Linked DNA regions of Diceros bicornis minor. The protein of the gene in region 2 interacts with the protein of the main gene of each other region in a pairwise test. Links are inferred from orthologs where the notes say so. Each region holds a gene or a part of one and is shown on either strand. Other genes may lie near its edges. The genes, in order: SFXN3, CREB3 and flavin-containing monooxygenase 3.

Region 1 (10,233 bases), on a different chromosome or scaffold from region 2:
AGCTGGTGCTCAATAAATGTTTGTGAATAAATGATTGAATGAGTGAGCCAGGGCTTGTGTTCCTGTGCCTTGCTTCCCTGTCCTGTTTGTGCATGTGTGAGCCTGTGTGTCTGTGTCTGTGTGTCTGTCTCGCTGTTGTTAGTGGGTGACAGCATGAATGTCATATCAGGTGTGACTGTGATAGTCCATCCCTGTGTGTGTCAGAGGCGTCTGCAGTGACACCAGTTTCCTTCAGGACAGAAATCATTTTTCTCCTTCCCTTATCCTCTTCTCCTGCTCCCTCAGTGTTCCTTCACTCCAGCCTAATTCATTCTTGCTGAATGAATGAAGGTGGAGGGGGCAGCGCCAGGGTGGGGCAAACAGGTGGCAAGTCTTAGACTCAGGTCAGGCTGGAGAGAGGGCTAGGCACTGGTCACTTCTGCTCCCAGCCACTACCACTTCCAGGATGGGAGAGGTGAGTGACCTACCTTCAGGAAGTCTTTCTTCTCCAGAGCATCCATGATCACGGGGGGAATGGCTGAGGGGAGAGCAGGGCAGGGAGGGAGGCAGTGGAGTGAAAGTTGGGACCCAAAGGAAGGGAGAATCCCCCCACGGTCTTATGGCCCGCCTTAGAGAACCGCACCTCCCTTCTCTCAGAGCCTCCCGTGCCCCACCCCGCCACCCCCGCCTCACCCATGGCTGGAATCGCCATGCAGATTCTTGATACCACCACCTGGAAGATTCCCCGCTTAGCTGCGGCCACCGAGTGGCCAAGCCTCTGACCCGCCTCATCAGTGACCGGGATGCCCACCTGCAGCTCCCTGGGAAGCGAAGGGAGTAGGGGTCAGATCACAGGCCCCAAACCCCACCCCTGCAATGCCCTCATGGGCAGCTATTGGGGTTCTCTCAGACAGCCTAGATCCAAAGGCTGGTTCTCCCCACTCCAGGATCCTAGCATCAGACTGAGACTGGGCCAGCAGCTCATGTCCGGGGAGGGAGAGGACTGTCCCCACTCTGGGCTGGTCTACATGGCTGGATGGTGTGCCCAGATGCACCCTGGGCACACACACGCCAGGAGTCGGGGCCACTCACCTCTGCCTCATCAGAGGGATGTTGATGCAGTTGGCAGCTGCCACAGCTGCAAAGGGCACAAATCTGCTGACCAGCGGGGGCAGGTGCTGGGGGAGGAAAGAGGTCATTTAGCGGCCCTAAGGGCTATGGGGTGGTGGGGAACTCTGAGGAGACATGTGGGGAGGCTATAGGTCAGGTGGTGGGGTGATGGGGAAGAAGGAGGTGGATAAAGGGTGAATGGGGTTGCAGTGGAAGGGGGGGGGCATTTACCTTTGTGAGGGATTTGAGTCCCAGGGCCGTGGCCACAGCCCCAGTGGTGGCACTCACATAAGCTGTTCCCAGCTGCCTGTGGGTGGAAGAGGCAGGACACAAGGGGAGAGGTGAACAGTTCAGTATGTGGTTCTTTCTTTCAGGGACATGCCAAATCCTCAACACATGAGGCGTGGGAGGGTGGCCTTATTGCAGAGAAATACCTCCCAGGCTCCAGTGTAGACTTGTCTGGAAGCCCCAATCCCTCCCCTTGAAGAAGAGTGAGTCCCCAAAGGACACACGAGAGGAACCCATGCCCTCAGTTAGGCCAGGAAAGTGGGGAAGGGGGGCAGGCTGAGAGGAGGGCGCTGAGCCACTGGCTGCACGGGCCCTCTGAGAACAGGAGCAAAAGGGAGAGAGCAGTGCTGGGCAAGGAGGGGAGAAGCGTCCCTGGGGACGGGCTCTCACCTCACAGTGATGGGAGCGTCGCCACTGCGGTTGGAGTAGTTAACAACAGCATTGAAGGACTGATTCACCCACTGCCAGAACACCACAGTTGGGGTCTTCCTGAGGGAACAAGGACACTTACTTCTGCCTCCTCTACAATGTCCCTCATCCTTGGACCCAGATAATGAAACCCCAAAGGTTAATCCCAAACACTCAGGAGGGACCCAGTCAATGACCCAAGAACCTGCTCTGGTGACCCCTGCATGACCCTCCTCACTTACACAAACACAGCCACTGTCTCTGGGTTGGGAGGACCCCCCAGGGCTGAGTTCTGAGGAATGGAAGGGATTCTGACACAAGATCTCACCCACTCACTATTTTTTGCCCAAACTGGCCCAGAAAGGAAGCACCTAGTCATCAAGCCACACTCGGGCTAAGACAGAGCGCTCAGGGAGGGGACACCGGGACAGGACCTGCCTGTAGAAGGTGAGCATGCAGCCAGTGATGGTCATGTTCATGGGCACCTGAGCTGACATGCGGCCAATCAGGACCACCTTCTCCCCCGTGTCCGGATGGAAGGCAGAGTCATACACATACTTGGCCCTCCACAGCTTGTCCTCGGTGAGCCCTGGAGTCACCACGCCGGCCCTGCAGAGTTTGGCAGGGAGCAGACAGGCAATTCTAGAGGGCAGATCTGCCCTCCCAAGCCCTGCCCACTCAGCTCAGGGGAAGTCTGGGCAGAGGACCAGGCACTCTGGCCCCCAATCTTAGAATAAAGGGGCTCCTTGTCTCTGGGGGAGAGTCAAAGCTTCCCAGAAAGTGTGGGGGGGGGCCCTATTTCTATTTCCCTTCTAGCCACACAAAGAGGGGTGCCCTTCTGTTTCTGCCTAAGTGCTGCGTCATGGGTACTGGTGGTTTCCAATGGGTCAAAAATGGCTGAGGGCATTGCAAGGGTTTTTCCTCCTGGAGACAAAGGGGATGGCCTCCTACCTTGTTGAGACTCAATTTTGAGCCCCTCTGTCCTTGCAGAGGGTGGCCCAGCAATGGGATAGGTCTCTATAGAGGGTCTGTGAGGCACAGAGCAGCGCCCCCCCCATAACTATCAATGCCACACCCTAAAATCCTTTGGGTTAAAACTCTGTGCCACAGCTATCTGTGATTCCAGCAGACAGGGCCAGGGAGTGAGGGGACTGATGAGTAGGACAGGCTCACTCTCAAGCTTGGGGAGGCAGGTACAAAAGGTACTGTATTAATGGCAGGGAATGAGACCGTGGGGTACAGGGTCAGATGGGGTAGGGAGTCACCTGTAGTTCTGCACAATGTTCCGGGAAGCTTCCAGCTGTGCCCCAGACAGCAGCAGATTTCGGGGGTCGGTAACAGTGAAGAAGTGCCGGGCTCTGCCCAGGAATGTGCTTTGGTCCCAGCGAGGTTCTTGGATGTTGATATCTAAGGGCAATTCACCCATTTTCTGCAGAGCAGGGACCAGAGTGAGAGGACTCCAAGGAGGGGGTCCAAGGGCTCCACTTGGGGGAGAATTTGGTGGCCCTGCCCTGGTCCCTGGGCCTATTGCCAATCCCTTCTAGAGCTCAAAGTGACTCCAGATAGGTAAGCAAGGGTTGGGGGAGGAGCTGTTTTCTAGGCATTGTCTTGGCCCAGGCATCTGTAGCCACTGGGGGAGGGGGCGAGGAGAACAGAACCACAAAAATAGATCATCTTATGCTGTGGCCTGGTGCAGATTTTCATGAGTGAGGATTTATATGTGTGTCGTCGATGCATGAGCAGCACCTAATCCTATGCAGTTACTCTTGTGCTCTGTATGCACAAAAATGCATTCTATATGCATCACACATCTCTGTTCCTGTCAGCTTTAGGCCCCAGCTGCCTTGAGACCTAGATACAAACCCCTAAGGCTGTCTGGGAAGATAGTATACGCCATCCCACACCCCAGCCCCTGATTGGAGGAGAGCAAGATCTCATTGGCCTCTCTAGGGCTTATCTATTCCAGATCTCAAACAGGGGACTCTGATGCCAGCCGTGTGAGAGTGTGTGTGTGTGTGTGTGTGTTCATGGGCATGCACAAGACCCACCTTCCTCAACCCCCACTGAAGGCTCAAGGCTCTCCTTGTTCCCCAGCTGGGCAGGGCTGGCACAGACACTCATCTACCTCTCCCTGAGCTACCTGCTTCCAGAAAGGAGCAGGATTCAGTAAGTGCCCCCTCCAGCCAGCACAGAGAGCCTGGAGCAGCCATCTGGCTGCACTGGGCAAAATCCTACAGAATGACTAATCCTCTCCAACCACACTTCCTCCCTCACAGGCAGACACACCCTCCCTTCTCTCACACACTCACAATCACATACCCACACACAAAGACACCATCACACAGCCCTACATAGACATACAAACAGGGTGGACACGCCCTGCATACAGTGGCCCACAAAGACTTACTTGCACGCACAAACACACACACACAGCCCATATCCATCAGATGCAGACGCTTGAATGTGTGACCACTCAGAGCCCCACCCTGACATTCCTCCCCGCTACCAACTTCCTCTTATGTCCCTTGAACCTCCTTAGAGCCAAAGATGCTGAATGGGACAGGACAGAGAGCACCCTTCAAGGCAGGCCTCCCTCTCCGACTCCCAGCCCTCAACTCCCTACTCCCCTGACCCCCGAACCCGCCCGAACCCGCCCGGGGCAGCAGGACTCACGCGCTCCTGGGCTCCTGGGCTCCCGGCCTCTGCAGCTCTCAGATCTGCCTTCTTCTTCGCGCATCACCCCCGCCCTCCAACCCATCACGCGTAACGTCACGCGTGACGCTAACCAGCAGGAGGGGCGGGGGCTCCCCTGGCACGTCCGCCCGGTGTGCCCCGGATTGGCAGAGTCCGGGGGCGGCGGGTGTCGTTTGGGGCGACGCCCCCAGCCCCGGCTACTGGGACTCAGCCTCACGCTGCCTCCCAGAGCCAATAGGGGCTCAGGGATCAGTTCTGGCCGGATTCCCAGCGGGAGAGAGGAGGGGAGGAGCCGCGGGTGCTGCCCGCTTTGCTTGCAGTCCCCTGGCTGGCCTCGGGAGGCACCCGGCCTCTGCAGCAAGGGGTCTAGGTATCCAGGGCGAAGGCGGGCGGCGTGGAGAGGCTATCGCTCTGGTGGTGCGCTCGGAGGGACTCGAGTTACTTCCCGGCTTGTTTACTTGACGGCTACCTTGGCAGTGGCCTCCGCCTACTTGGCCCCCTGGGCGCCTATCCCGGTTCCCACAAGCTCCTCTCGCAGCACCTCGGCGTTCGCACCCCTTCACAGTCCCGTTTCCTCTTGCTTGTGCCCCTTCTATGTCCCCAGCCCTTTCCTCCTCCCCAGGCCCCTCCTTACTCGCCTCTGAAACCCCTAGCTCCTCTGGGTCCCCAGTTTCCTTGTGCTTCCAATCCCTACCTCTGCACCACAGACCCTAGCCCCAGTCCTTGCCCTGCGATGTGAAGGGACAGAAGGCTCCAGCAAGTGAATCAGAAAGAATCTTCCGCCCCCTAGTGTTCTGGGACCAACTGCCCCGCCCTGCGTCCTTTCCAGGACTGGCTGTCCACACACTTTCTGACATAGAAGGGGGATGCATGTGAAGAAGGCAAAGCTCAGCCACACAAACACTCACAACTCACCCAGTCACCGTACAGAGCACAGCTGCTGCACACCCAGACCCCAGTCCACGCTCCTGCCCACCGCAGGCTCAGGCCCGCTCTGCCCAGGTGACACTCCCTCACTGAGGCCTCAGGGGTGACCGCGGAGGTGTGGCAATTCCATGAGCCCTGGGAGCTGCCTTGGCCTGGAGAAGACGGGGTTCTGGGCTTTCCCTGCGCTGAGTTCGCGGGGCAGGGTGGGGCATCAGAACTCGAACTGTAGCGGATATAACTCAGCTGCCGCAGCCTAGGTGACAAACAGCTGTCCTGGGCGCCCAAGGGAGGTGGCAGGAGAGAGTGACTGGCGGCCTTCCCAGCCAATGGGAGCCCGGGGCTGCGCAGGCCAGCCCTGTTCCTGCAGCCTCGGCGGAGCGTGGGCGGGGTTCCCAGGCTTCTGCAGTCACTCGCGCCCGCGGGCGGGCGAGGCCGGCGGCTGCCGCACACGCGAGCAGGTGAGGGGGACCGAGCTTGAGAGGTGGGGGCCGGGAGGACGGAGCCGGGGGTAGGATGCTGCATTCTGGGTCCCAGAGCTGCTCTGGGGTATTTGGCCCCAGGTTTTACGATGGATGTCGTGGGGCTTTCGTCAGCAGGTCCTCACCCGCAAGCCTGGGAGAGATTCACGCAACCTTTTTAGATAGGAGAGGAAGAGGGACGAAGGGGACAGCAGCCTGGGGCCTGGGGACCTCTGGGGGCCAGGGAATCTCTGGGGCCCTGGGAATCTCTGGGGGCCTTGGCTACAGCTGTCCCAGGCCCTGAAGCCCTGCCCTTGAGTCCCGCGCCCCAGGAGCTGGCCCCCTACCCACATACACAGGAGAGGTGGTGCAGTGAACTCTCCTGGCCCCACTTTCTCTCACACCGCTTGAAGCCCTAGGGCCCTCAGTTATCCCATCTCCACTCTCTCAACCTCTACTGAGGCCCAGGGACGGGAGTAGATGACTCAGCTGAGAGCAGGAAGGAGAGGTGAATGAGAGGTTCCCACCTGCTTTGTTGTATAAATAGCTCCAAAAGTCCACGATGGTGCCTGGATTGGGGGTTTCTCTGGCCAAGGATGGGAGAGGTGAGGGGCCTAAGGCATGGGAGGTCAGGATGCTCAAACTAGGGGGAAGGGTGAAAATTCTGGGGGGCAGCCTTCACACCCCTCCCCCAATCCTTGCTCTCCCTGCGCAGGCCTGGAGCACACACTCCCAAGAGGCAGCGGAGGTGGAGGGCTTCGGGTCACTGAGACCCCAGTGCCGCACAGAAGGCTCATGGAGCTCGGAGCACGCCGGGCCTTCCTCTTGAGAGCTAGCAGGTTCCTTCTGGACCTGTAGGGCGCCATCCCAGTCTAGCCACCATGGCGCGCGGTTTTGCAGTAGGCTTCGACCCCCTGGGCCTCGGAGACCTAAGCTCTGGCTCTCTGAGCTCCCTCTCCTCCCGAGGCCACCTGGGCAGCGACTCGGGCTCCGCAACGCGATACCTGCTGAGGAAGAAGCGGCGGCTGCTTAATGGGCCCCCCCGTGGAATCCGAGCCTCATCGCCCATGGGCAGAGTCATCCTCATCAACTCCCCCATCGAAGGTGGGAGCGGGGCCCTGCCATGGTCCTGGGAGCTGAGGGGGTGGGTAGGGGACAGCGGGTGCCAAGTAGGAGGAGGCAGAGCCAATATGAGTGGGGGAACTCAAGAGATGGGAGTCATAGGGATGGGGGGCGCCTGGAGACCCATACTCTCTTCCTCATCTATCCTTTTCGCACTTTCAGGCTAATCCTTTAGAGTTCCAGGATCATAGAGAGGTCAGAGGTGGGAGATAGGGGCATGGAGGGAGGTATGTGTGGTATGCTAGCCCCCAAGTGAGCAAGGCAGGATATTGAATTGGCCCCTCCCTCCCATGGACTCTGCCTTTCTCCAAACCCATTTGTGGATGCCTTTGGGGGTGGGGCAGGATGGAGAAGGACATCCTCCATCAAGCAGCCCACTGTGTGACCAGCTCTGTGCTGGGCTGTGAGGTGTCAGTGCCCAGTTAGGCAGAGAGAATTAAAGGCTTCAGGTGCAGAAGGAAGGAAATAGAGGTAGAGCAGCAAATGAGGGAGGAGAAGAGGAGGGTAGAGGGTCAGGGAGGGAGCCCCATGGCTGGGCCCTGAAGGAGGGGGACACCTAATCTTATGCAGTTGCTTAATGCTGTTTCATTGCACAGCTATTTTATGCCAGCGCTAGTTAGGTCCTACAGGGGACCTAGAGAGAAATAAGGCTCAATCTTCACCTTCCAGAAGTTTACAGTGTAGCAGGGCTTAGAGACAGAACAATAACAGCTGGTGGTGGGGTGGAGGTGTCGCAGACAAAGGTTGGAGGTGGAAAGCACGGAGCACGGTGGGGGGGGGGCGGGCGGGGCACTTAGGAGACAGCTTGGCTATAGTGACAGATGTGAGGCGACAAAGAGCCGGTGAGCAAGGCAAGACCTTGAATGCCACTGGGGGAGCGGGGGCCCCCTGGGCCTTGGCTTTCTGTGAGCAGGACCAGATAAATATCTCCAGCTCCCCTTCTCTCTCTCAGCCAGCAGAGCTTCCCTGGCTGGATCCTAGACTGGAATTTTCAGACCCTGCTCCTCCCCTCTGACCCAGCTGGGCATCTCTGTTCCCCTACCCGGGCCACTGGGGCAGGGGTGGAGCATGTTGCTCAGGGAGCAGACTTTCCTGCACCTGGTGGCCCAGCGTGCTCACCCTCATCATCCACCATGCTTGGCCTCACCCTCAGGTGAGCAGCAGGGCGCTGCTGAGGGTCACCACTGTCATTCTGGTCATGGAGCAGAAGTCCCCAGAGGAGCTAGGAGACATGGAGGGGAGGGGGAAGACCCTGCAGCCCTGCCCCTATGAGTCCCATTGTATTCAAAGAACTATGCTCTACCTCACCTCACACACCCACAGGCACTGTGCTGGCTATGGTGCAAGGGCTATGTCCACTGTCCCTCTAAAGATCCTCTTCCAGAAGTTCCATGATTGCTCTGTCCCTCTGCCTCACTCTAGTGCCCTGGTGCAGCCAGGGGAGCAGCATCTTCTAGCAATGGAAGTACTGGGGCATTGTTCTGACCAGCTGGCCCCTAGCCTGTCTGGGCTGGGAGCCTCTGAATCCTCCCCTCTGCCTGATTACAAACATCTCCCAACTCACTGCAGCCTGCAACCCCTCTCCTATGTTATTATTGAGACCATTCCAGAGGCTGAAAGTAACTGAAAAGGAGACACAGTGGGAAGGGGAAGACTGCCACCCACATCACCCCCATGAGGTCCCACCAGCTCCTCAAACTCAACTGGTCCCAGAGAAAATGCATTATCTTTAATCCGAACCAGCCCTTTCTCCTCACTCTCCTAGCTCCTTGTTTATTCATTCATTCATCCATTTGTTCTTTTATTTATTCAAAAAATACTTAGCAAATATTAAGCACTGTGCAATATACTGGGGATATGTTGGTGGAAAGGAATTCCAAAGTCCCTACCCTGACTGAGCTTCCAGTCTAGTGAAAGGAGACAGATACTAAATAATAATATGAATAAGCAAATAATGAGCAAGGATGGTAAGAATCTTGAAGGTACTAATTTGGATGATATGATAGAGTAGTGGTTCTCAGACTTTAGAATACATCAGAATTGCCTGGGGGGCTTGTTAAAGACAGATTGCTGGGTCCTCCACCCAGAACTTCTGACTCAGTGGGTCTTTGGTAAAGCCTGAGAATTCACATTTTAGTATGTTTCCAGGTGCTGCTGATGCTGTTGGTCTGGGGACCACACTTTGAGAACCACTCTAACAGAGATGATGTGGGAGGAGGGGGAAGGGACTTTCTTAGGTAGCGTTCTAGGAAGGCTTCTCTGAGAAAGTGGTATCTGAGTCAGGAGGGACTGAGGCCTAGGAGCCGGCTTTCTGAATGTCTGGGCAAGATATTGCAGGCAGAGAGAAAGGACATGGCCTGCGGGAGGAACAGGAAGGAGGTCAGTGTGGCCAAAGCTCAGTGAGGCCAGGGAGATGAGGGTAGAGAGGGGCACAGAGGAAAGCCCATGGAGGGCCTTGTTAGGCATGGGGGGAGTGTGGAGTTCCTTCTAGAAGCAGGGGCAGGCATTAAAGTTTTTCGTCAGAGGAAAGGCATGGTATGTTATAAAGGCTGACTCTGGCCATTGTGTAAAGGATGGATTAAAGGGGGCAAGAGCAGAAGTGGAGAGATAGTAAGGAGGCAACAGAGTGCCTGGAGGGAGAGCTTGGTGGCCCAGGCTAGGGCAGTGGAGGTAGAGAAGGTTCCATCCTCAGAGGCCCCAAGCTCCTAGGCTCAAAACCCCAGATTTGGCATCCCCTGGCCCAGGGCCCTAGGAAGGCCCAGGGAGGGACTGAGGAGAAAGAGCGTTGGCAGGGGGGAGAGCAAAAGTCTCCCTAGCTGGGCCGAAAAGGTCCTGAGGCCTGTGCAGACAGAATCAGCCAGGAAGCCCCAGGATCTCCCCCGTCTCTCCTGTATCATCCCTGCCCACAGGCTCCCCTTGGGGACTTCTTCCTGAGCCACCCTGGTCATGCACTGTAACCTGATTTCTCTTAGATCAAAGAGACGTGTATGTGTATGTGTGTGGGTGTGTGTGATTTCTCCCTCTCAAACACAGCTAGAGTAAGCCTTGCCCAGGAAGAAATCTCACCTTCTCACCCGGAAGCCAACTTACCCCTCCAGCCTTCTCACTTTTCTCTAAGCAAAAGGCCTCCTCATGGAGCCACCTCTGAGCCCTTGCTCCCTCCATCCTCATCAGTGCCCTCCCCTTCCCCTCCCCCATCCAAATCCCACCCATCTTAGTCTTCCAAGAAACCTTCCCTGACAGCTCC
Region 2 (10,233 bases):
TTGGGGAGAGCCCAGCTGGCTATTATTGTCTTTCCTTAGTCTTCAGTATCTTGGTCCCTCTCTAGGCCGTGATGGAGTCTGAAATGAAGTTTGACAAGGACCAAGATGGACTCATTGAGAATGGAGGCTATGCAGATCAGACCTATGATGGATGGGTCACCACAGGCCCCAGGTTGGGGGGTAGGGATTTCCATGGGACCTGAGATGGGGAATTGGGCACCAAGGGACTGTGGGCTCAAGGCTTATTATATTGCATGGGAGTGGCCGGAGCTGCCAGTATGACCCCCAAACCCATGTCCCTGATCAGTGCTTACTGTGGAGGACTGTGGCTGGCAGCTGTGGCTGTGATGGTCCGGATGGCTGCTCTGTGTGGGGCACAGGACGTCCAGGATAGGTTTTCTTCCATCCTCAGCCGGGGCCAAGAAGCATATGAGAGACTGCTGTGGAACGGTGAGTTGGAGGGTCCTGAGGAGTCTTAAAGCAGCCATGGGGATGCAAGGAGCCTTACTTTGCCCTTCCTCTACTCCAGGCCGCTATTACAATTATGATTGCAGCTCTCACCCTCAGTCTCGTAGCATCATGTCTGACCAGTGTGCTGGCCAGTGGTTCCTGAGGGCCTGTGGCCTAGGAGAAGGAGACACTGAGGTGAGAGAGACTAGAAGGAGGAACCAGAGAGAAAGGTGGGTTTTCTTTGGAGGTGGGAAGCAAGTATAAGAGACTTGTTTCTGTCCTTGCCCCTTCTAGGTATTTCCTATCCCACACGTAGTCCGTGCTCTCCAAACTATCTTCGAGCTCAATGTCCAGGCCTTTGCAGGAGGGGCCATGGGGGCTGTGAATGGGATGCAGCCCCATGGTGTCCCTGATAGAACCAGTGTCCAGTCTGATGAAGTCTGGGTGGGTGTGGTCTATGGACTGGCAGCCACCATGATCCAGGAGGTAATGTGCTCCCTTCCCCATCTCTCCACCATCTATACCTTGGCCCAGCAAACTTCCTCAGCTGTCACACTTCTGTACGGCCTAACCCATCCCATCTGATCCATCTAGAAAGCCTCGGCCTTTTCCCTGGCCGGCATTCCATCTCCTGCCTTCAGGATTCTCCCTGTACTAGCTAGGAGCTCCCCGAGGGCAGAGATCCTATTGTCTCCATCTCTCCAGCTGACCTGAGGTCAGGGGTTGTCAAGTAATATGACTGCCATCTCTCCCTACAGGGCCTGACTTGGGAGGGCTTCCGGACAGCGGAAGGCTGCTACCGTACCGTCTGGGAGCGCCTGGGCCTGGCCTTCCAAACTCCTGAGGCATACTGCCAGCAGCAGGTGTACCGCTCGCTGGCCTACATGCGGCCATTGAGCATCTGGGCCATGCAGCTGGCCCTGCAGCAGCAGCAGCAGCATAAAAAAGCCTCAAGGCCAAAAGCCGAACAGGGTACAGGACTAAGCACAGGGCCTAAATTTGGACCAAAGGAAGCCATGGCAAACCTGAGCCTAGAGTGAGCTCTCTGAACTGTGGGAGGGAGGCACTAACAGTCCATTCTCCAACCTGGCCTTCCCTCTGGCCCCTGGCCCCCCACCCCCCACCCGCACCCTCCCCAGTCTCCTGCATCCCTGAGCCACCAGGACAATCATATCCCTTTCCCTTCTCCCCACCCAACTGCGCCAGTAAAGAGGGGTTGAGGTTGACCCAGGCATCAGAATCACTTATTTATTTCTTTCCTCACTCCTTTCGCTCACTGCATGAAATGTTCAAGGAGGTCAGTTGATTCCCCCAGGCCCATTCGTGGAGTGATAGACATACATGGGTACAAATAAAAGACCCAGAAAGCCAGTTAAGTGTGGTGTGTTTGAGCCCTCAGGCTTCCTGACAGGGCACAGGAGCTGAGGCTAGCCCTCTCCCACTCCTTTTTATTTGGACACAGACTGGGGGCCCCAGGCTCTTGCTGAGGTCCCCCACATCCTCACATCTAGCCTAAGTATGGGCCCTGCAAGATGACAGGTGTGGGGCTGTGAGTAGGAAGTCATCCCCCCTCCCGTGCGATTTGTGTGCAGAGGAAAGATAGGACCTGGACAGGGGGACTTTGAGAAGGGGTCAGGGAGTGGCAACTTCAGGGGAGGCTCTGCGCCAAGAGCCTGAAGCACGTGGTAGAACAGGCAGCAAGAGTTGCCAGGAGCTTGGAGCACGTGGTCTGAGCTGTCCTTTGGTGCCTCTGACTGCAGGGCAGGCGGCTCCAGCTGGTGAGGGTCCTCACTGGGGAGGGCACGAAGCTGGCGGGACAACACTGAGAAGACAAAGACTCTTTAGAGGCAAGCCAGGCTTCTCCCCTAGCCCGCCCTTAATGGTATCCTCAAGCCTCTCACCTCCACGCTCAGCTGGCAGGCTCCCCCTTGTGTCAGAAGAGTACATAGCAGGTACGAGGAGGAGACAGAAGGAGAACAGTAGGACCTGGAGTACAGGAAACAGGAGGTGATGAAGGGCTCTTGATTGCATCCCTGTCCCTGCTGCCTGAGAAGAGGATCTCTCCTTCCATCAGCATCCTCACCAGAACACAGGTGCTGCTGCTGCTGGTTTTGTTTGATATCTGAATCATCATGGCCTGGAGTCTCCTCAGCTGATCCAGAAGAGACCTAGGGGAAGAGGGCAGTGAGCAGCCCCTGGCCTGGCACCCTGAGATACAGTGAAACCCTCCTGTTAAGGCCACTCCCTCCGTCTGTGCACTGGATCCTCTCTTACTTTTTGCAAATGACTTCTCTCTGTGGACAAAATGCCTGAAGTTCCTCATTAAAATATCCCTCTGCTCTGGCGTGACTTAAAACTCTTTTGCACATACCTTCAGTACTTCCTACACTGCCCCATCAGCTATGCACATAATTCTCACCAGGCATTCTATGTTCTCTTCCTTCTGACTCCACTCATGTTAAAGAGTTCCAGTCAGACTGGACTATGCTGTGGTCTCTACCTAGAATACTCTCAACACCCCCACAAGAATCCTATCTGCTATTAAATACCATCTGCCCCATGAGGTCTTTCTTACTCTTTCTCCTCTCTCTTTCTTGGTACTTATCATTAGTTACTTGTGAATTTACTCGCCATTACTGTGAGCTGCTTGGAATTAGAGACCCAGTAAGGGCCAACCACCAGACCTTGCATGTGGGAGCTGCCCAGTTAGAAATCAAGTGTGGAGCAAAGGAAAAAGTGAGACAGCGCCAAATAGGAGGGATGAGAAGGGACTGATGTTGCAGAGCTGCTTACAGATTCTGTTCCTCCAGGAGCTGTACTCTGTTCTGTAGCTCCAGATTCTGGGCTGTGTATTTCAAGACCCTAGGGGAATAACAGGGATGTGGGGATGTGGCCTGTATCCTCCCTTCAAAAACCTAACACTTGCAATACTTTTGGAAGGTATTGGAACTCCAATTCCAATACCCCACCACCGAGTCCCTCTCCCGTTTATACCTGTTCTCTAAACCCCCCACATACACCTTCTTCTTCCTGCGGCTCTCCTGAGCAGACTTTTTGTTTCGAATCTTCCTCCGTACTCGTTTCAGAACTTGTTCTTCCATCTGAGAGAAGGCAGGAAAAGTTATCATCAGAGGAACACTGGACCAAAGAGTTGGAATGCAACTGAGTTCAATCTTCTTCCCAGTGCAGGAATCCCTTCTACAGCTTCTCTGACAAACAGGCACTTGGCTTCTGTCTGAATGCCTCCAAGGACCAGGTGTTAATGCCCTCATAGGCCGGACCCTTTTAATAATTTTAATTAAAAAAAAAAAAAACCTTCCTTATCCTGAGCCAACATCTGCCTCTCTAATTTCTAGCCTTTGGACTTACCTAGTACCTAATCTCTGGGGCCATATAGAACAAATGATCTTGAGCTATTTTAAGGCGCTTGACATTTCTTCAGAGTCAAAAAAAATCTGGGCAAAATTTTTAACTCGTCATCTTATCAGTATGGACTGCATCCGTTTAATATCTGTCAAAGATCTGGGTTCAAAACTAAACACTCAGATGTGCTCTGGCCAGTATAAAGAAGAGAGATAGTCACTGCCCTTCTAGAGGCAACACCTCTATTGATTACAGCCTCCAAACCCCATTCACTTTCTTAGTAGCCATATCACATTGCTGACTCATCTTGTACTTTTAAGAAATTAAAATTCTCTTAACCTTTCTGTCAGTGAATGTCGATTTCATCACAGTGTCACAATATTGTGCTTGTGAAGTTGCCATTTGTTGCTTGAAACTTAAAGCTCAGAATTTTACATTTATTCCTGTTATATTGCTTGGTCCAGCCTTGATAAACTCTCTAAAACTTAATTCTACCATTCAACAAGAGGTGGATTACCACGAAGCCAGTGAAATGTGTCAGGGCCCCTCACTTGCACAGTCCTTTCCAATGCCCTATACTAATGTTGCACTGATAATGTGGAATTCTTTTTTCTTAAAGAAAACACCAAAATTTTTATAAGCCCCACAAAACCAGGAGCAGCTCTTGCATCCAGCATATTAACTACATGCACCAGCTTCCTATTAGCAGGGAATTTGCTAAATTTCTCACCTCAGTCCTTTTTCAAGTTACTGATATAAAATTAACAGAATTGGCCTACTTGGGGCTCAACTTCCTTTGCTGCCTTGCTCCACCAATGGGAGTCTTACCTTAGTGAGAGGAAGTGTCCCAGGCAGAGTAAGCCCCTCCTTCTCCAACAGCCTCTTCTCCTCATCTGTCAGTATCAGCCTAGCAATCTCCTGGGGTTCCAGGGAGGTGGCAGCAAAGTTGCAAGGCAATATCAGAGAGGAATGGGGAATCCTACCTCCACCCATGCAATGTGGGAATATTCCTCCGTAAATCAAATCAAGTACCTGCTCTGCTGGCTCCTCTACATGCAATGGAGTCATCTGGGCCCCCTCTTTTCCATAGCTCCCGCTATCTGCAAAAGAGAAAATATGAATAGCCAAGCCCATCAGTCCTCTCCTCTCCCAAAACTTCTCTTACTTCAGACTCACCTAGATCTATGGAAATATGTTCCTGTGGTACAGAGTAGGTGTGATCATGGTGGACAGGACAGGAGTTAGAAGAGTTGAGAACGTTCAACGACGCTGGGGGACTCAGCAGAGAGCTCAGGAAATCCTCGGCCTCCCAATCCCTCAGTACCTGCACAGGGTTCAAATTAACAGGCCTTGACCTATCACCACCCCCTGCCTCAAGGACGCCCCCCTCCCCGCCCCGCGCCTCCCCGACTCGGAGCCCGTACCCACCTCAGAAAGCGGCAGCTCCCAGTCTAGCGGAGCCTCCACGGCCTCGTGGATCGCCGCCCCCAAATCTCCGCTTTCCTCTAGCAGGAAGTCCAGCAGGTCTTGGTCACCCGGGTCCGACGGCAGCTCCATATGGGACATCTACGGAAAGGATGCGTAGAAACACAGGGGTTCGCCCCTCCACCTGGCCCCAACCCCGAACCCCATGCAAGACACTCCCCTAACGTCAGTCCGTCTTCAACCGGGCTTGCCCCGGAGCTGCTAGCCGACGCTCTCAAAGGGGACACGCCTCCTGAACTCAAGTCTCCCCGGCTTCCAACACAACGGAAGTGACGCCCATGCCCCCAAGGCATTCTGGGACACGGAGTTCCCCTAGTGCGGAAGTGGCGCCACGTCCCGGGAGCCATGCAAATCGAGGGGGCGGGCATTCTGCTGCTTCCTCACAGCCTGAGGGCGGGCATTCTGGGATGCGGCTCCGCCTTCGCCCCAAGCTAGAAAAAGGAAGGATTCGAGCCTAAAAGGGAACTGGGGCGTCTTCTCCGGATCGCGCCGCAGCCTTGCTTCCTGCCAGGGAGGGCCTGCGGGTCTTCGGAGGGTTCCCGAGCATCGAGAGCTGGGGCCAGAGCAGCTTCCTTCAGTCCCCGAAACCATAGAGCGCGGGCACAGGGCGCCGCCCGCGGGTGGGGGACGCTCCGGGGACGGAAGTGGCCGCCGGAGTGTCGAAGGGAGGGCGAGGCCGGAGCCCGAGAGCCACCGGGAGGACGAGCGAGCCCGGTAGCGGGCCGGCGGGCGGGGCACAGAGCCGGGCAGCGCAGGTAGGCCGGACTGGGCCCAGCCGGAACCTCAGGATGGGGCCGGGAGGCGGGCGGGCGGGGCCCCGACCCTCCTGCGTCTCCTCCTGCGGGTCCTGTTGGAGAGGTCAGCGGCCAGTGTATCTCGGTTTGGGCTCGGAGTTAAGTAGGCCGTTTTGCGGGAGCCAGCCCCCTCCTGGGAGCAGTCCTCGGCCTGGGATAGGTTTTGGGGAGGGCGAGGAGTGGGGTGGTAGTGAGGCGCAGGGCGGGGATCGGCTTTGAGGATCAGCGGGTATGTGGATAGGAAAGCTTTGGGTGAGTTTGGGATTAGGTGGAGTTCGGTTTAGGACTCAAGGTTAGTTTTAGGAGGTATGAAGCCGGGGTTAAAATTTAGTGTTATTAGTGTGAGTCAGGTCCGTTTTATGTAGGTGAAGTTTGGATTACGGTCATTATTTTGTTTTTTAGGGTGGCCAAGATAAGTCAAAGTTACGGTTCAGGGTCAGGTTAGAGGTCAATAACAGGAATTAGGTTGGAAGTCTAGTTTTAGGGATAAGAGAACGTTGGCATAGTCAGTATTAGGGATAAAAAGTGAAGAGGTGGGTCAGGAATCAAGTGGCAAATGAGCTTTAGACCTAGGGGTCAACATTTAGGGTTAAGGTCAGGGGCTTTGGTGCTTTTTAGCACCATTTAAAGGTAAATATTAGAAATCAGGGATTGGATACAGGTGTCTGCTAGGAAAGGGGTGAATGTCAAAGCCAGTACTGGGAAACAGGAAACACATTAGGGTTGGGGTTAGTGTTAGGAATTAGGGGCAGTTTTAGGGGTTGTGGTTGAGGTCAGGATAGTGGATCTCGGACACGTGAAATTTAAGATTAGTGGTAGGTAGAGGCCCTGTTTTGCGAGGAGGTCTCTCATTTCTGTGTAGTCGCAGGGGCTTCTTTGGCCCAGAGAAATGACAGACTATTTTCAGGCTAGGGTTCTGGGTTTCAGCTAGAATTGCAGGCATCTGGGACTCCAGCTGCTTTATTCTACTCTCTAAGCCCAAGGCTCTTGCTGTGGCCACAACAGTTGAGGGGCAGAGGTTCGTGGACTATGTTGTTTACAAGATAGGAGGTGGGAAAGGGACAGGGACCCAGGAGATGTGTAAGGCCTAGTCCTGAGTAGGGGACTGCCTAGAGGAAAGGGGACTGGTGACTAAGGGGGAAGCAGACCAAGAAAACACTGTTGCCACAGGAGCGGGGGATGACTGATCCTCTGAAAGTTCAGCCCCATTGCTTCCCATTCTCCTCATTCTCTCAATGTTAAGCTCTCCACTCCAGCTCTCCTCCCTGGCCCTGCATTTCACACCCTTCTTGCATACCCCCTTACAGAATGCTTCCCTTGTCTTTAACTCTCTCATGTTCTTCATTTTGCCATGTGTTCCCAGCCTCAGTTTTGCCTCTCTTCCCACCCCTTAATCCGCACACATCCTACCTTAATTTACTGTCGCCCAACTCTGAGCTTTCCCATCATCTTAAAGCACTCTCCCACCATTTTCACCCGCTCATCTACCTGAATACCTCCTGATCATCTGCTGAATACTCCAGCCCCAGCCCAACACAACTGCCAAGTACTTCCGATGCCTGCTGTGTTCCATCCCTGATTCTAAGCCTTAATTTCTTGGTCCACTTGTAGATCCCCTTCCCCCACTCCCCTGACAGAAAAGAGGAAATGAGACCCAAAGAGGAAACTGGGTCTTGCTGATCCCACGCCCAGCCAGGCCACTGACCACACCCCCATTTCACTCCCAGCCTGACCCTGCCACTGACCACAGCACTATCCCCTACCGAGCCTGACCCAGCCACTGGCTGCACCCCATGCACCACCCCCAACTCCAGCTTTACTTAGACACTGCTGGTGTCCCTTCACTCTTTGCCCATCCCATCCTAATTTAGCCACTGACCACAGCTCCCTCTCTTCTCAGTCTCGTAGCCTGACCTGGCTTCTGACCTCACTGCATCATTCCCTGACTTAGCCACTGTCCACATAATTATTCTTCCGTTTCCCCCAGCCTGATCTAGTGACTGATCATATATGTATTTTTCCTACCATCTTCCCCAGCCTTTCTCTACACCTCATCTTCCCCATTTCCAGCCCAATGCAGTCACTGACCTCATCCCTTCTGCCCCTCTACCTGGTACTAACCACATCCCCATCCCTTTTTCCCTCAGCCTAACCACATCTCCTAACCACAGCCTCATCTTCACATTCCCAGCTTGTCCTTATACTTTCTTTCCCCCCTTCCCAATTCCTGACCTAAACTCAAGCTGCCCAGCCACTGAGTGACTGCTGATGACAAGAAGCTATGGGACCCCAGCCTGACTTTGGGCCCTGGTCCCTGAGGGTTGACAGGACAGACTGTCATCAGTTCCTATCAGTTCTACCTCTTAAAATTTCTGATGAGTGACATCCTCTCCACCCTTCTAACTCTGGCTTCATTACCCCTCACTTCTGCTAATGCAGTATCCTTCTAACTAATCTCCAAGGTAACTGCCAGAGTTATTTTCCTAAAATCTGGTTCTGGTTATGTCCCGTCTCTGCTGAAAGCCTCCCTTGGCCTCCTGTTGCCCCCTAGTAGGTATCATTCCTCATACTCTCCCTAGTTCTCACCAGCCTTTCCATCCTCATCTTAACTTCCCCATCACTGCTCCCTTGCAGGTATGCTGCGCTTCAACCAGCCTGCCTCTCACTTCCCTGAATGCTCCTCCACGATTGATTTCCTGCTTCTCCACCTTTGCTTATGCTATTCTCTCTGCCTGGAATGCTACCCCTGACTCAGCTCCAGCTGGCCTAGTGGAGAGAGCTTGGGCTTTGGAGTCAGAGAGACCTGGGTTCGGATCCTGTCTTCACACCTCATTAGCTGTGTGACTTTGGACAAGCACCTTGAACAAGTGTTTAACTTCTTTGAGCCTCAGTTTCCTTATCTGTAAAAATGGAGATAATGACACCTACCTTGCAGGGTTGTTGTAAGGATTAAATGAAATTATGTATACAAAGCAATTGACATATAGTCAATAAAAGATTGTTAGTATTTCTTATTATCTTTACTTTTTAAAATCCTAACTTCAAATGACACTTTTCATGGAGACTTTTTGGTCCCCTTTTCATCTAAAGGGATCTCTCCCCTGAGCACACACCTCTTGGCTCTTACCACATCCTGCCCTCTTTTACAACTGTATTTAGTTTATCCACTCAGCTGACTGGGAGCCCCTTGAGGACAAAGGCTAGGGCTTACTTTTCTTGGTTCCCAGCCACTCAGAGTTTGGCTGGGGGCCTTCCCCACAACAGACCCTCAGAAATGCTTGCTGGATGAATGGAGGGAGAATGTCCACATAATAGGAGGAGAGATGTTGGGGCGAGTTGTGTGCTTGCTGATAGAGGTGTATTTATGGGGAAGGTGTGGGCATGGGATGGCGTCTTTACAGGAAGATAACGTGGTTGTGATGGGATCTGTGTAGGGGCTGCATGTTTGAGATAACATATATAGAGACAGTGTAAGTAGCTTAGTAGGAAAGAGCTCTGTGCGCAGGCTGGGGTGCATTTGGAGAGAATAAATATGCATGGATTGGGTGGAGGTGGGGAGGGGCTGTGTTGGGGGAGGTCAGGTCCAGCCTTTCAGCTGCCCAGTCCAGCCCTAAATGAGCCTCCAGCAGCCTGAGGCCGGATATGTCAGTCTCACCCACAACCCTCCCCCCGCTCCCCGCGGTTGCAGACTCAGAGGCCAAATTTGGTAACAGACTGAGTGTTGCTCCCCCAACCCTCTTACATTCTGACTCTGTCTTCAGCTTTCTCTCTCCCTTTGTCCCTCTCTGTAACTCCTGTCTTTCTGCAGCTCCTTTGTGGGTATCTGCTCTAACTGTATTCTCTGTGTACCCCAAATTTCTTATCCCCAGTACACTTAACATTCCATTCCTTGCTGGGATTTGACCTGCTGTCCTCCATTCCCCCCCACCCCCAATTGCCCAACTTCTCTGGAATGCATCTCAGGAATGTCTTGAGGGAGGAGGAGTTCCCTGGGAGGGGAACCTGGGGGGGCATTGTTGCTGTTCCATAAAACATGATGGAAAGGGGAGCAAAGTTCTCAGGCGAGAGCAGGAACTGGATAGCTTCTCCCATACTTCCAGGGCCCTTGTTTTATGCCTTCCTCACCTCAAATTCACTCCTT
Region 3 (10,233 bases), on a different chromosome or scaffold from region 2:
ATCCTTAAGAAAAGAAAAGCCAAGGATAGCGGTTAAGTGCACGCGCTCTGCTGCTGGCGGCCGGGGTTCATATCCCGGGCGCACACCGACGCACCGCTTCTCCGGCCATGCTGAGGCTGCGTCCCATATGCAGCAACTAGAAGGATGTGCAACTATGACATACAGCTATCTACTGGGGCTTTGGGGAAAAAGAAAAAAAAGGAGGAGGATTGGCAATAGATGTTAGCTCAGAGCCGGCCTTCCTCAGCAAAAAAGAGGAGGATTAGCATGGATGTTAGCTCAGGGCTGATCTCCCTCACAAAAAAAAAAAAAAAAGAAAAGCCAAGAAAACATTAATCTAATTTTAAGATAACATTTTCAATTTTAAAGAGTCCATAAAACCTCAAATGGTGGTCTAAAGAAAACCATTTTTTTCCTTAAAGAAATTAGCATCATTTCCACCTAAAATGGTTTTCTCTCTGTAGAAGGGTCAAACTGTGGATTTCTACATATACTTGCTACTTCATAATGGAAAGCACTGAGCACTGGAAATTTCTAATTAGGGCTCATATAACTCAAAGTTGTCAAGGCCCCCAGAATATACATTTTTAGTATAATATTAGAATATTACAATCACATCAGTATCACTGGGCTGAAATTAAGGTGTCGACAGGGCCATATTCATTCCAGAGGTTCTAGGGGAGCATCCGTTCCTTCCCTCTTCCAGCTTCTGGTGGATGCCAGCATTCTTTGACTTTTTCAGCATCTAGAGGCCACCTGTATTCCTTGGCTAATGGCCCCTTCCTCCATCTTTAAGGCCACAGCATAGCATCTTCCAATCTCTCTCTCTTTTTGCTGAGGTGATCACATCGCCTTTTCTCTTCTGCTTCTGTCAAATCTCCCTCTGCCTTTCTCTTATAAGGATATATGTGATGGCATTTTAAGACCACTAGATAATCCAGGATGATTTCACCATCTCAAGATTCTTAACTTGATCATATTTGCAAATATCCTTTTTTCCTTTTTAGGTAACATTTACAGGTCTCAGGGATTAAGACCTGATATCTTTATTGGGAATGCATTGTTCAATTGTTTATCCTACTACAGTCCATTGTCTGGCCCCTAAAGATTCACGTCTATCCCACCTGCAAAATACATTCACCCCATCCTAACATTTCAAAGTCTAAATCCATTGCAGCATCAAATCAAGTCCTGAATCTCATCTATACATCCTCAGCTCAAAAGTCCCACAGCTCATCATCTAAATTATCTAAATCAGGTATGGATGAGACTCTGGGTATGATCCATCCTGGGAGAAAAGTCCTCTCCATCTGTGAACCCGTGAAACTAGAAAGCAAATTATCTTCTTCCAAAATACAGTGATGCGACAGGCATATGGTACCAGTTACAGATATTCCCATTCCAAAAGGGAAAAAATGGAAGGAAGAAAGGAGCTACCAGTCTCACGCAATGTTGAAATCCAGCAGGGTAAACTTCATTAGGTGTCACGACCTGGGAATAGCCCTCTGTGGCTCAAGGCTCCAGCCTCTGGGCTTGAGGTTCCCTGCTCTGGGCTCTTCTCTCTTTTTCTCCAAGGGTAGCACATGTTTGCGGCTGAGTGGTTTATCGATCTATGATGCCAGGTTCAAATTTGAAAGTATTCCTTGACCAGCAAGAGAGCAGCTGCTCTCAAAAGCCATATTAGCAGTGTCTATATTCAGTAATGTTTTGCAAAGTCAGTTTGAATATGAGGATTTGGTTAAGATCACTGTGTAGAAGAGCTGGCCAGCTCAATAGGCCACTTGTTGAAATGGCACCCAGCAGTTAACAAAGGGGTTAAGAATTCAGGCTGGAGAGAAAGGCCTGCTTGAATTGGGATCTTGTCTTCAGCATTTACCATTTTTAAATTTTCTTTTATTTTTATGTTTTTTTACCTTAGTTATTATTTTTTTTTAATTGCAGTAACATTGGTTTGTAACATTACACAAATTTCAGGTGTACATCATTATACTTCTATTTCTGCATAGATTACATCATGTTCACCACCAAAATACTAATTATAGTCCATCACCACACACATGTGCCTAATCATCCCTTTCGCCCTCCTCCCTCCCCCCTTCCCCTCTGGTAACCACCAATCCAATCTCTGTCTCTATGTGTTTGTTTATTGTTGTTATTATCTACTACTTAATGAAGGAAATCATACGGTATTTGACCTTCTCCCTCTGACTTATTTCACTTTGCATAATACCCTCAAGCTCCATCCATGTTGTCACACATGGCTGGATTTCATCGTTTCTTATGGCTGAGTGGTATTCCATTGTGTATATATACCACATCTTCTTCATCCATTCGTTCCTTGATGGGCACTTAGGTTACTTCCAAGTCTTGGCTATTGTGACTAACGCTGCAATGAACACAGGGGTGCATGTATCTTTACGCATTGGTGTTTGCTTGTTCTTTGGATAAATACCCAGCAGTGGAATAGCTGGATCATATGGTAGTTCTATCCTTAATTTTTTCAGGACTCTCCATACTGTTTTCCATAGTGGCTGCACCAGTTTGCACTCCTACCAGCAGTGTATGAGAGTTCCCTTCTCTCCACATCCTCTCCGACGGGTGTTGTTTCCTGTCTTGTTAATTATAGCCATTCTGATGGGCGTGAGGTGATATCTCATTGTAGTTTTGATTTGCATTTCCCTGATAGTTAATGATGTTGAACATCTTTTCATGTGTCTGTTGGCCATCTGTATATCTTCTTTGGAAAAATGTCTGTTCAGGTCTTTTGCACATTTTTCAATTAGGTTGTTGGTTTTTTTTTGTGTGTGTGTGTGAGGAAGATTAGCCCTGAGCTAACATCCGCCAATCCTCCTCTTTTTGCTGAGGAAGACTGGACCTGGGCTAACATCCATCCCCATCTTCCTCTACTTTATATGGGACGCTGCCACAGCATGGCTTGACAAGCGGTGCATTGGTGTGCACCCGGGATCCAAACTGGCGAACCAGGCCGCCGCAGCGGAGCGTGTGCACTTAACCGCTTGCGCCACCGGGCTGGCCCCTTGTTGGTTTTTTTTGTTGTTGAGATGTATGAGTTCTTTATATATTTTGGAGATTAACCCCTTATCAGATATATGGTTTGCAAATATCTTCTCCCAATTGTTAGGTTGCCTTTTTGTTCTGTTGATGGTTTCCTTTGCTGTGCATAAGTTTTTTAGTTTGATGTAGTCCCATTTGTTTATTTTTTCTATTGTTTCTCTTGCCTGGTCAGACATAGTGCTTGCAAATATGTTGCTGACACCAATGTCGAAGAGCGTGCTTCCTATGTTTTCTTCTAGAAGTTTCATGGTTTCAGGTCTTACCTTCAAGTCTTTAATCCATTTTGAGTTTATTTTTGTGTATGGTGTAAGATAATGGTCTACTTTCATTCTTTTGCATGTGACTGTCCAGTTTTCCCAACACGATTTGTTGAAGAGACTTTCCTTCCTGCATTGTATGTTCTTGGCTCCTTTGTCGAAAATTAGCTGTCCATAGATGTGTGAGTTTTAATTTTCTTTTTAAGCTTCAGATTCATTTGTAAAAAGGAAAACAGCATACCTGGCTTATAGGATTATTATAAAGATTGAATTAAATGGGAAAAGGTGTTTGGCATACAGGAAGTGCTCAATAAAATAGTCCCAAGAGTTATCAATATGCTGATTTGAAGCTTTGTCAGCATATTACCGTAACATATACTAGGCTCCATGACATTATACAAGATGCTGGGTGGTTTCAAGGGTTCTCAACAGTCTAGAAAATATTTATATTAACAAAATTCATATATCTTTGTAATGTTTAAAGAGCTGTCATAGACACTGTATCCCTAAATACAACCTTTTTATTGAGGTATAAAATATAATACTAATTTTGCATTTGAGGAGGAAATAGTGGCTTAAAAAGGACTATCGATCTTCCTAAATTTGCATATATATTAATAGTTTATCAGAAGAAGAAGAAGACAGATGGGCTAGGCTTTGCCAAATAGTGTTTCTAAGGTTGGAGACATGATGGAGTAGAGGGCACAGGGCAGCCCCTACCTATGCTGATGTGGTTGTCAGGCAACATTGGAAGTGATTTAATTGGTGCATGTAAGCATATTTGCTTATATCTATCATTGTTATTATTATCGTATTTATGTCTGCTTATAACTATCATCTTTGTTATGATAGAGACAAAAGGGCATTGAAGAGCTTCAGATCAGTGTGTCCTATTCTTGATTCCTTCTGTAGTTGTCTCATTAATTATGTGGTTTTTGCAAGACCAAAATCAGCACCTGAAACCTTAACATCTGTGGTCTGAGTCACTAAGAGGACCTCTAGTAACATCAACAAAAGAATGGAAAAAGCCATTGTTTTTTATTTTTTATTTTTATTTATTTATTTTTTTGTGTGAGGAGATCAGCCCCGTGCTAACATCTGCCAATCCTCCTTTTTTTGCCAAGGAAGACTGGCCCTGGGCTAACATCCGTGCCCATCTTCTTCCACTTTATATGGGAGGCCGCCACAGCATGGGTTGCCAAGCGGTGCGTCGGTGCGCGGCCGTGATCCAAACCGGCGAACCCCGGGCTGCCGCAGCGGAGCGCACGCACTTAACCACTTGCGCCACCCGGCTGGCCCCAGCCATTGTTTTTTAAATGTGTAACTCAAGCAATTATATTTTACATAAACCTAAGCAGTATTTCAAGGTGGGTTTTATCGCAGAGTGATTCACATATTAATGATTTATCAAGGGTGAATAATGTACACAGACACCTTCAAGGCTAGCATACCATCTCATTTACGTCTGAAGTAAGTAAGGGACAACTTTCCACCCTGCTTCTGATGTTGTGCTTCATAGATTCCAAACCTAGGAGGGATTCTAACCGCCATGACAGCTGGTTTGGAAGCCTGTGCTTAGACAATGTGTTCTCACCACTTCCCGCCTCACTTTCCAGTCTGTTGCAGTGACATCCCACTCACCGAGAATTTCCACAGGCCCCCAACGTCTTCGCTCCTCTCAAAGCAGGTTGGCTCCAGCCCCTCTTCCAGACAGCATCTGATGGAGGCCAAGCCACTGACACCAGCTCCGATGATGGCCACTCTCTTCCCCATGGTCACCTGTGCAAACACCCAGAGAACATTTCCAGCAGCAGTATTGCTGAAAACCTGTGTTTTTTTATATCACTCTTTGGAATAATAAGAAACTTTATTTTTGCACCAAGAAGGCAATATTTTTTTTTAAATTTTTTGTTTATTGCAGTAACGTTGGTTTATAACATTGTAAAAATTTCAGGTGTACATCATTATACTTCTATTTCTGCATAGATTACATCATGTTCACCACCAAAATACTAATTATAGTCCATCACCACACACATGTACCGAATTATCCCTTTCACCCTCCTCCCTCCCCTATTCCCCTCGGGTAATCACCAATCCAATCTCTGTCCCTATGTGTTTGTTTATTGTTGTTATTATCTACTACTTAATGAAGGAAATCATACGGTATTTGACCTTCTCCCTCTGACTTATTTAACTTTGCATTATACCCTCAATGTCCATCCATGTTGTCACAAATGGCTGGATTTCATCGTTTCTTATGGCTGAGTAGTATTCCATTGTGTATATATACCACAGCTTCTTTATCCATTCGTCCCTTGATGGGCACTTAGGTTGCTTCCAAGTCTTGGCTATTGTGAATAACGCTGCAATGAACATAGGGGTGCATGTACCTTTACAAATTGGTGTTTTCAAGTTCTTTGGATAAATACCCAACAGTGGAATAGCTGGATCACATGGTAGTTCTATCCTTGATTTTTTGAGGAATCTCCATACTGTTTTCCATAGTGGCTGCACCAGTTTGCACTCCCACCAGCAGTGTATGAGAGTTCCCTTCTCTCCACATCCTCTCCAACACATGTTGTTTCCTGTCTTGTTAATTATAGCCATTCTGGCGGGCGTGAGGTGATATCTCATTGTAGTTTTGATTTGCATTTCCCTGATAGTTAGTGATTTTTAACATCTTTTCATGTGTCTGTTGGCCATCTGTATATCTTCTTTGGAGAAATGTCTGTTCATGTCTTTTGCCCATTTTTTAATTGGGTTGGTAGTTTTGTTGTTGTTGAGATGCATAAGTTCTTTATATATTTTGGAGATTAAGCCCTTATCAGATGTATGGTTTGCAAATATCTTCTCCCAATTGTTAGGTTGTCTTTTCGTTTTGTTGATGGTTTCCTTTGCTGTGCAGAAGCTTTTTAGTTTGATATAGTCCCATTTGTTTATTTTTTCTATTGTTTCTCTTGCCCGGTCAGACATGGTGTTTGAAAAGATGTTGCTAAGACCGATGTCGCAGAGCGTACTGCCTATGTTTTCTTCTAGAAGTTTCATAGTTTCAGGTCTTAATTCAAGTCTTTAATCCACTTGGAGTTAACTTTTGTGTATGGTGTAAGGTAAGGGTCTACTTTCATTTTTTTTGCATGTGGCTATCCAGTTTTCCCAACACCATTTGAAAGAGACTTTCTTTTCCCCATTGTATGTTCTTGGCTCCTTTGTCAAAGATTAGCTGTCCATAGATGTGTGGGTTTATTTCTGGGCCTTCGATTCTATTCCATTGATCTGTGTGTCTGTTTTTGTGCCAGTACCATGCTGTTTTGGTTACTATAGCTTTGTAGTATATTTTGAAATCAGGGAGTGTGATACCTCCAGCTTTGTTCTTTTTTCTCAGGATTCCTTTAGCTATTCGGGGTCTTTTGTTGTTCCATATAAATTTTAGGATTCTTTGTTCTATTTCTGTGAAAAATGTTGTTGGAACTTTGATAGGGATTGCATTGAATCTATAGATGGCTTTAGGAAGTATGGACATCTTAACTATGTTAATTCTTCCAATCCAAGAGCACGGACTATCTTTCCATTTCTTTGTGTCTTCTTCAATTTCTTTCAGAAATGTTTTATAGTTTTCGGTGTACAGATCTTTCACCTCTTTGTTAAGTTTATTCCTAGGTATTTTATTCTTTTTGTTGCAATTGTAAATGGGATGGTATTCTTAATTTCTCTTTCTGCTACTTCGTTGTTAGTGTACAGAAATGCAACTGATTTTTGTATGTTGATTTTGTATCCTGCAACTTTACCATATTTGTTTATTACTTCTAAAAGTTTTCTGGTGGATTCTTTAGGGTTTTCTAGATATAAAATCATGTCATCTGCAAATAGTGACAGATTTACTTCTTCCTTTCCAATTTGGATCCCTTTTATTTCTTTCTCTTGCCTGATTGCTCTGGCTAGGACTTCCAGTACTATGTTAAATAGGAGTGGTGACAGTGGGCATCCTTGTCTGGTTCCTGTTCTTAGAGGGATAGCTTTCAGTTTTTCACCATTGAGGATGATATTAGCTGTGGGTTTGTCATATATGGTCTTTATTATGTTGAGGTACTTCCTTCTATACCCATTTTATTCAGAGTTTTTATCATAAATGGATGCTGTATCTTGTCAAATGCTTTCTCTGCATCTATTGAGATGATCATGTGATTTTTATTCTTCATTTTATTAATGTGGTGTATTACGTTGATTGATTTGCAAATGTTAAACCATCCCTGCATACCTGGAATAAATCCCACTTGATCATGGTGTATAATCTTTTTAACATATTGTTGTATGCGATTTGCTAGTATTTTGTTGAGGATTTTCGCATCGATGTTCATCAGTGATATTGGCCTGTAATTTTCTTTTTTTGTGTTGTCCTTGTCCGGTTTTGGTATCAGGGTAATGTCAGCTTCGTAGAATGAGTTAGGGAGATTTCCCCCCTCCTCAATTTTTTGGAAGAGTTTGAGAAGGATAGGTATTAAGTCTTCTTTGAATGTTGGGTAGAATTCACCAGGGAAGCCGTCTGGTCCTGGACTTTTATTTTTGGGGAGGTTTGTGATTACTGTTTCGATCTCCTTACTGGTGATTGGTCTATTCAAATTCTCTACTTCTTCTTGATCCAGTTTTGGAAGGTTGTATGATTCTAAGAATTTATCCATTTCTTCCAAATTGTCGAGTTGGTTGGCATATAGCTTTTCATAGTATTCTCTTATAATCTTTTGTATTTCTGAGGTGTCTGTTGTAACTTCTCCTCTTTCATTTCTGATTTTATTTATTTGTGCCTTCTCTCTTTTTTTCTTGGTGAGTCTAGCTAAAGGTTTGTCAATTTTGTTGATCTTTTCAAAGAACCAGCTCTTGGTTTTATTAATTTTTTCTATTGTTTTTTGGTCTCTATTTCATTTATTTCTGCTCTGATTTTTATTATTTCCCTTCTTCTACTGATTTTGGTCTTTGTTTGTTCTTCTTTTTCCAATTCCTTTAGGTGCATTGTTAGATTGTTTATTTGAGATTTTTCTTGTTTGTTGAGATAGGCCTGTATCGCTATATACTTCCCTCTTAGAACCGCTTTTGCTGTATCCCATAAATTCTGGCATGTCCTATTTTCATTTTCATTTGTCTCCAGGTATTTTTTGATTTCTTCTTTGATTTCTTCGTTAACCCAGTCGTTGTTCAGTAGCATTTTGTTTAATCTCCATGTATTTGTGGCTTTTCTGATTTTCTTCCTATAGTTGATTTCTAGTTTCATACTGTTGTGATCAGAAAAGATGCTTGGTATTATATCCATCTTCTTAAATTTATGGAGACTTGTTTTGTGGCCTAATACGTGATCAATCCTGGAGAATGTTCCATGTGCATTTGAAAAGAACGTGTATTCTTCGGTTTTTGGATGGAATGCTCTGTATATATCTACTAGGTCCATCTGTTCTAGTCTGTCCTTTAAGGCCAATGTTTCCTTATTGATCTTCTGTTTGGATGATCTATCCGTTGGTGTAAGTGGAGTGTTAAAGTCCCCTACTATTATTGTGTTACTGTCTATTTCTGTTTTTATGTCTGTTAATAATTGCTTTATATATTCAGGTGCACCTACATTGGGTGCGTAGATATTTACAAGTGTTATATCCTCTTGTTGGATTGTTCCCTTGATCATTATGTAATGCCCAAGAAGGCAATATTTTTAAAAAACTAGATTAGAACTCCTTTTAGTCATCTAACTACATTTTGCAGTTCTCTCTAACTTCTAAAGAGAGAATGTTTTCTTCCAAAAAAAAGAAGCACTTTATTTTTAGCCAACTCTGCAAAATTAAGACACTGACCATCCAGCATATATATTTATCTCTTTTCCTTTGGCCTTTTGTCAGTTACTTGCTACCAGAGAGAGTGAACAGGAGAAAGAAAAGGAGATTCCCAACTAAAACACATATACACTCACCTATACCCACAAACACATAGGTAAAAACGAATGAAGAAACAAATATATATGTGCACGTGTATACAGTTGTCCTTCCCTTATCCACGGTTTCGCAGTTGTGGTTTCAGCTATCCGTGGTAAACCATAATCCAAAATTATTAAAGAGAAAATTTGTAAATTAAACTTTATTATAGTTATATTTGTATAGGAAAAAACAGTATGTGTAGGGTTTGGTCCTATCCACATTTTCAGGAGTCCACTGGGGGACTTGGAACATATCCCCCATGGATTAGGGAGGACCACCGCATATTTATGCACATACATATACACATACCCACACCTATATGCATATACAAATGAAGAAACAAACATATACGTACACACACACACACACACATATATGTTTGTTTCTTCTTTCTACTTTAAGACTTGATGAGGAACAATGTCTGGCTATATCTGTGTTTCAGTATGCCAGGCAGTCACCCCCTTTCCTTCCCTTATAATGTTCTTCACCTTCTCAATTAAAAAAAGAAATCAAGTCTCCTTATCCACAACAACTTCTTGCCACTAATTGACTGCCACCCTCAACCTCCATTCTCTTCCAAGAAAATTACATTTCCTAATCTTTTCCTGTTCCTGACACTATCTTTAGGTCCTATTACTTCTATCTTTTTTCTTTTTAGAGAAAATCACATAGATATGTAGAGAAATAGACTTGAATGGCAAGAATCATGATCCTTAATTCTCAAAAAAAAAAATATATATATCTGCCTGAATATATGTCATTCTCATTCTGGCCATATTTGGTAGAAACTGTAGCACGTTCCTTCTCCATTTACCAATCCCACCCTCCCTCTCAGTCCCTTACAACACCATCCTTTTTACCTTCTCTGCCTTTTCTTTATCTTCCCTTCTTCTGTATGTTTAAGTCCTCTCCGAGTGATTCGGGCAGTTAGAAAGAAAAACAGGCTT

What was found.
Region 1: the proteins of CREB3 (region 2) and SFXN3 interact in a two-hybrid assay, tested with the Homo sapiens proteins (2 studies listed by BioGRID and IntAct). The two-hybrid records come from large-scale screens. The link is inferred for Diceros bicornis minor from reciprocal best matches to the Homo sapiens genes CREB3 and SFXN3.
Region 3: the proteins of CREB3 (region 2) and flavin-containing monooxygenase 3 interact in binary tests that used the Homo sapiens proteins (3 or more experiments, as listed by UniProt). The two-hybrid records come from large-scale screens. The link is inferred for Diceros bicornis minor from reciprocal best matches to the Homo sapiens genes CREB3 and FMO3.

What each region holds. Positions count from the first base shown.
Region 1 is NC_080745.1:66,220,235-66,230,467, reverse strand, and holds the start of SFXN3 (sideroflexin-3), read right to left. Parts: upstream 5,599-10,233; 5' UTR 5,395-5,598; intron 5,031-5,394; exon of another isoform or gene 4,459-5,030; intron 3,215-4,458; 5' UTR 3,212-3,214; coding exon 3,051-3,211; intron 2,395-3,050; coding exon 2,220-2,394; intron 1,867-2,219; coding exon of another isoform or gene 1,863-1,866; coding exon 1,768-1,862; intron 1,397-1,767; coding exon 1,321-1,396; intron 1,158-1,320; coding exon 1,072-1,157; intron 801-1,071; coding exon 673-800; intron 518-672; coding exon 468-517; intron 1-467. UniProt on the Homo sapiens protein: Mitochondrial serine transporter that mediates transport of serine into mitochondria, an important step of the one-carbon metabolism pathway.
Region 2 is NC_080767.1:4,150,022-4,160,254, reverse strand, and holds CREB3 (cyclic AMP-responsive element-binding protein 3), read right to left. Parts: upstream 5,572-10,233; 5' UTR 5,380-5,571; coding exon 5,242-5,379; intron 5,138-5,241; coding exon 4,990-5,137; intron 4,914-4,989; coding exon 4,846-4,913; intron 4,732-4,845; coding exon 4,642-4,731; intron 3,552-4,641; coding exon 3,445-3,551; intron 3,313-3,444; coding exon 3,244-3,312; intron 2,619-3,243; coding exon 2,534-2,618; intron 2,437-2,533; coding exon 2,352-2,436; intron 2,273-2,351; coding exon 1,899-2,272; 3' UTR 1,685-1,898; downstream 1-1,684. Other genes in the region: GBA2 (non-lysosomal glucosylceramidase), read left to right, coding at 66-172, 308-450, 530-645, 745-936, 1,209-1,490. UniProt on the Homo sapiens protein: Endoplasmic reticulum (ER)-bound sequence-specific transcription factor that directly binds DNA and activates transcription. Plays a role in the unfolded protein response (UPR), promoting cell survival versus ER stress-induced apoptotic cell death.
Region 3 is NC_080743.1:94,803,530-94,813,762, forward strand, and holds the start of flavin-containing monooxygenase 3, read right to left. Parts: upstream 5,106-10,233; coding exon 4,974-5,105; intron 1-4,973. UniProt on the Homo sapiens protein: Essential hepatic enzyme that catalyzes the oxygenation of a wide variety of nitrogen- and sulfur-containing compounds including drugs as well as dietary compounds.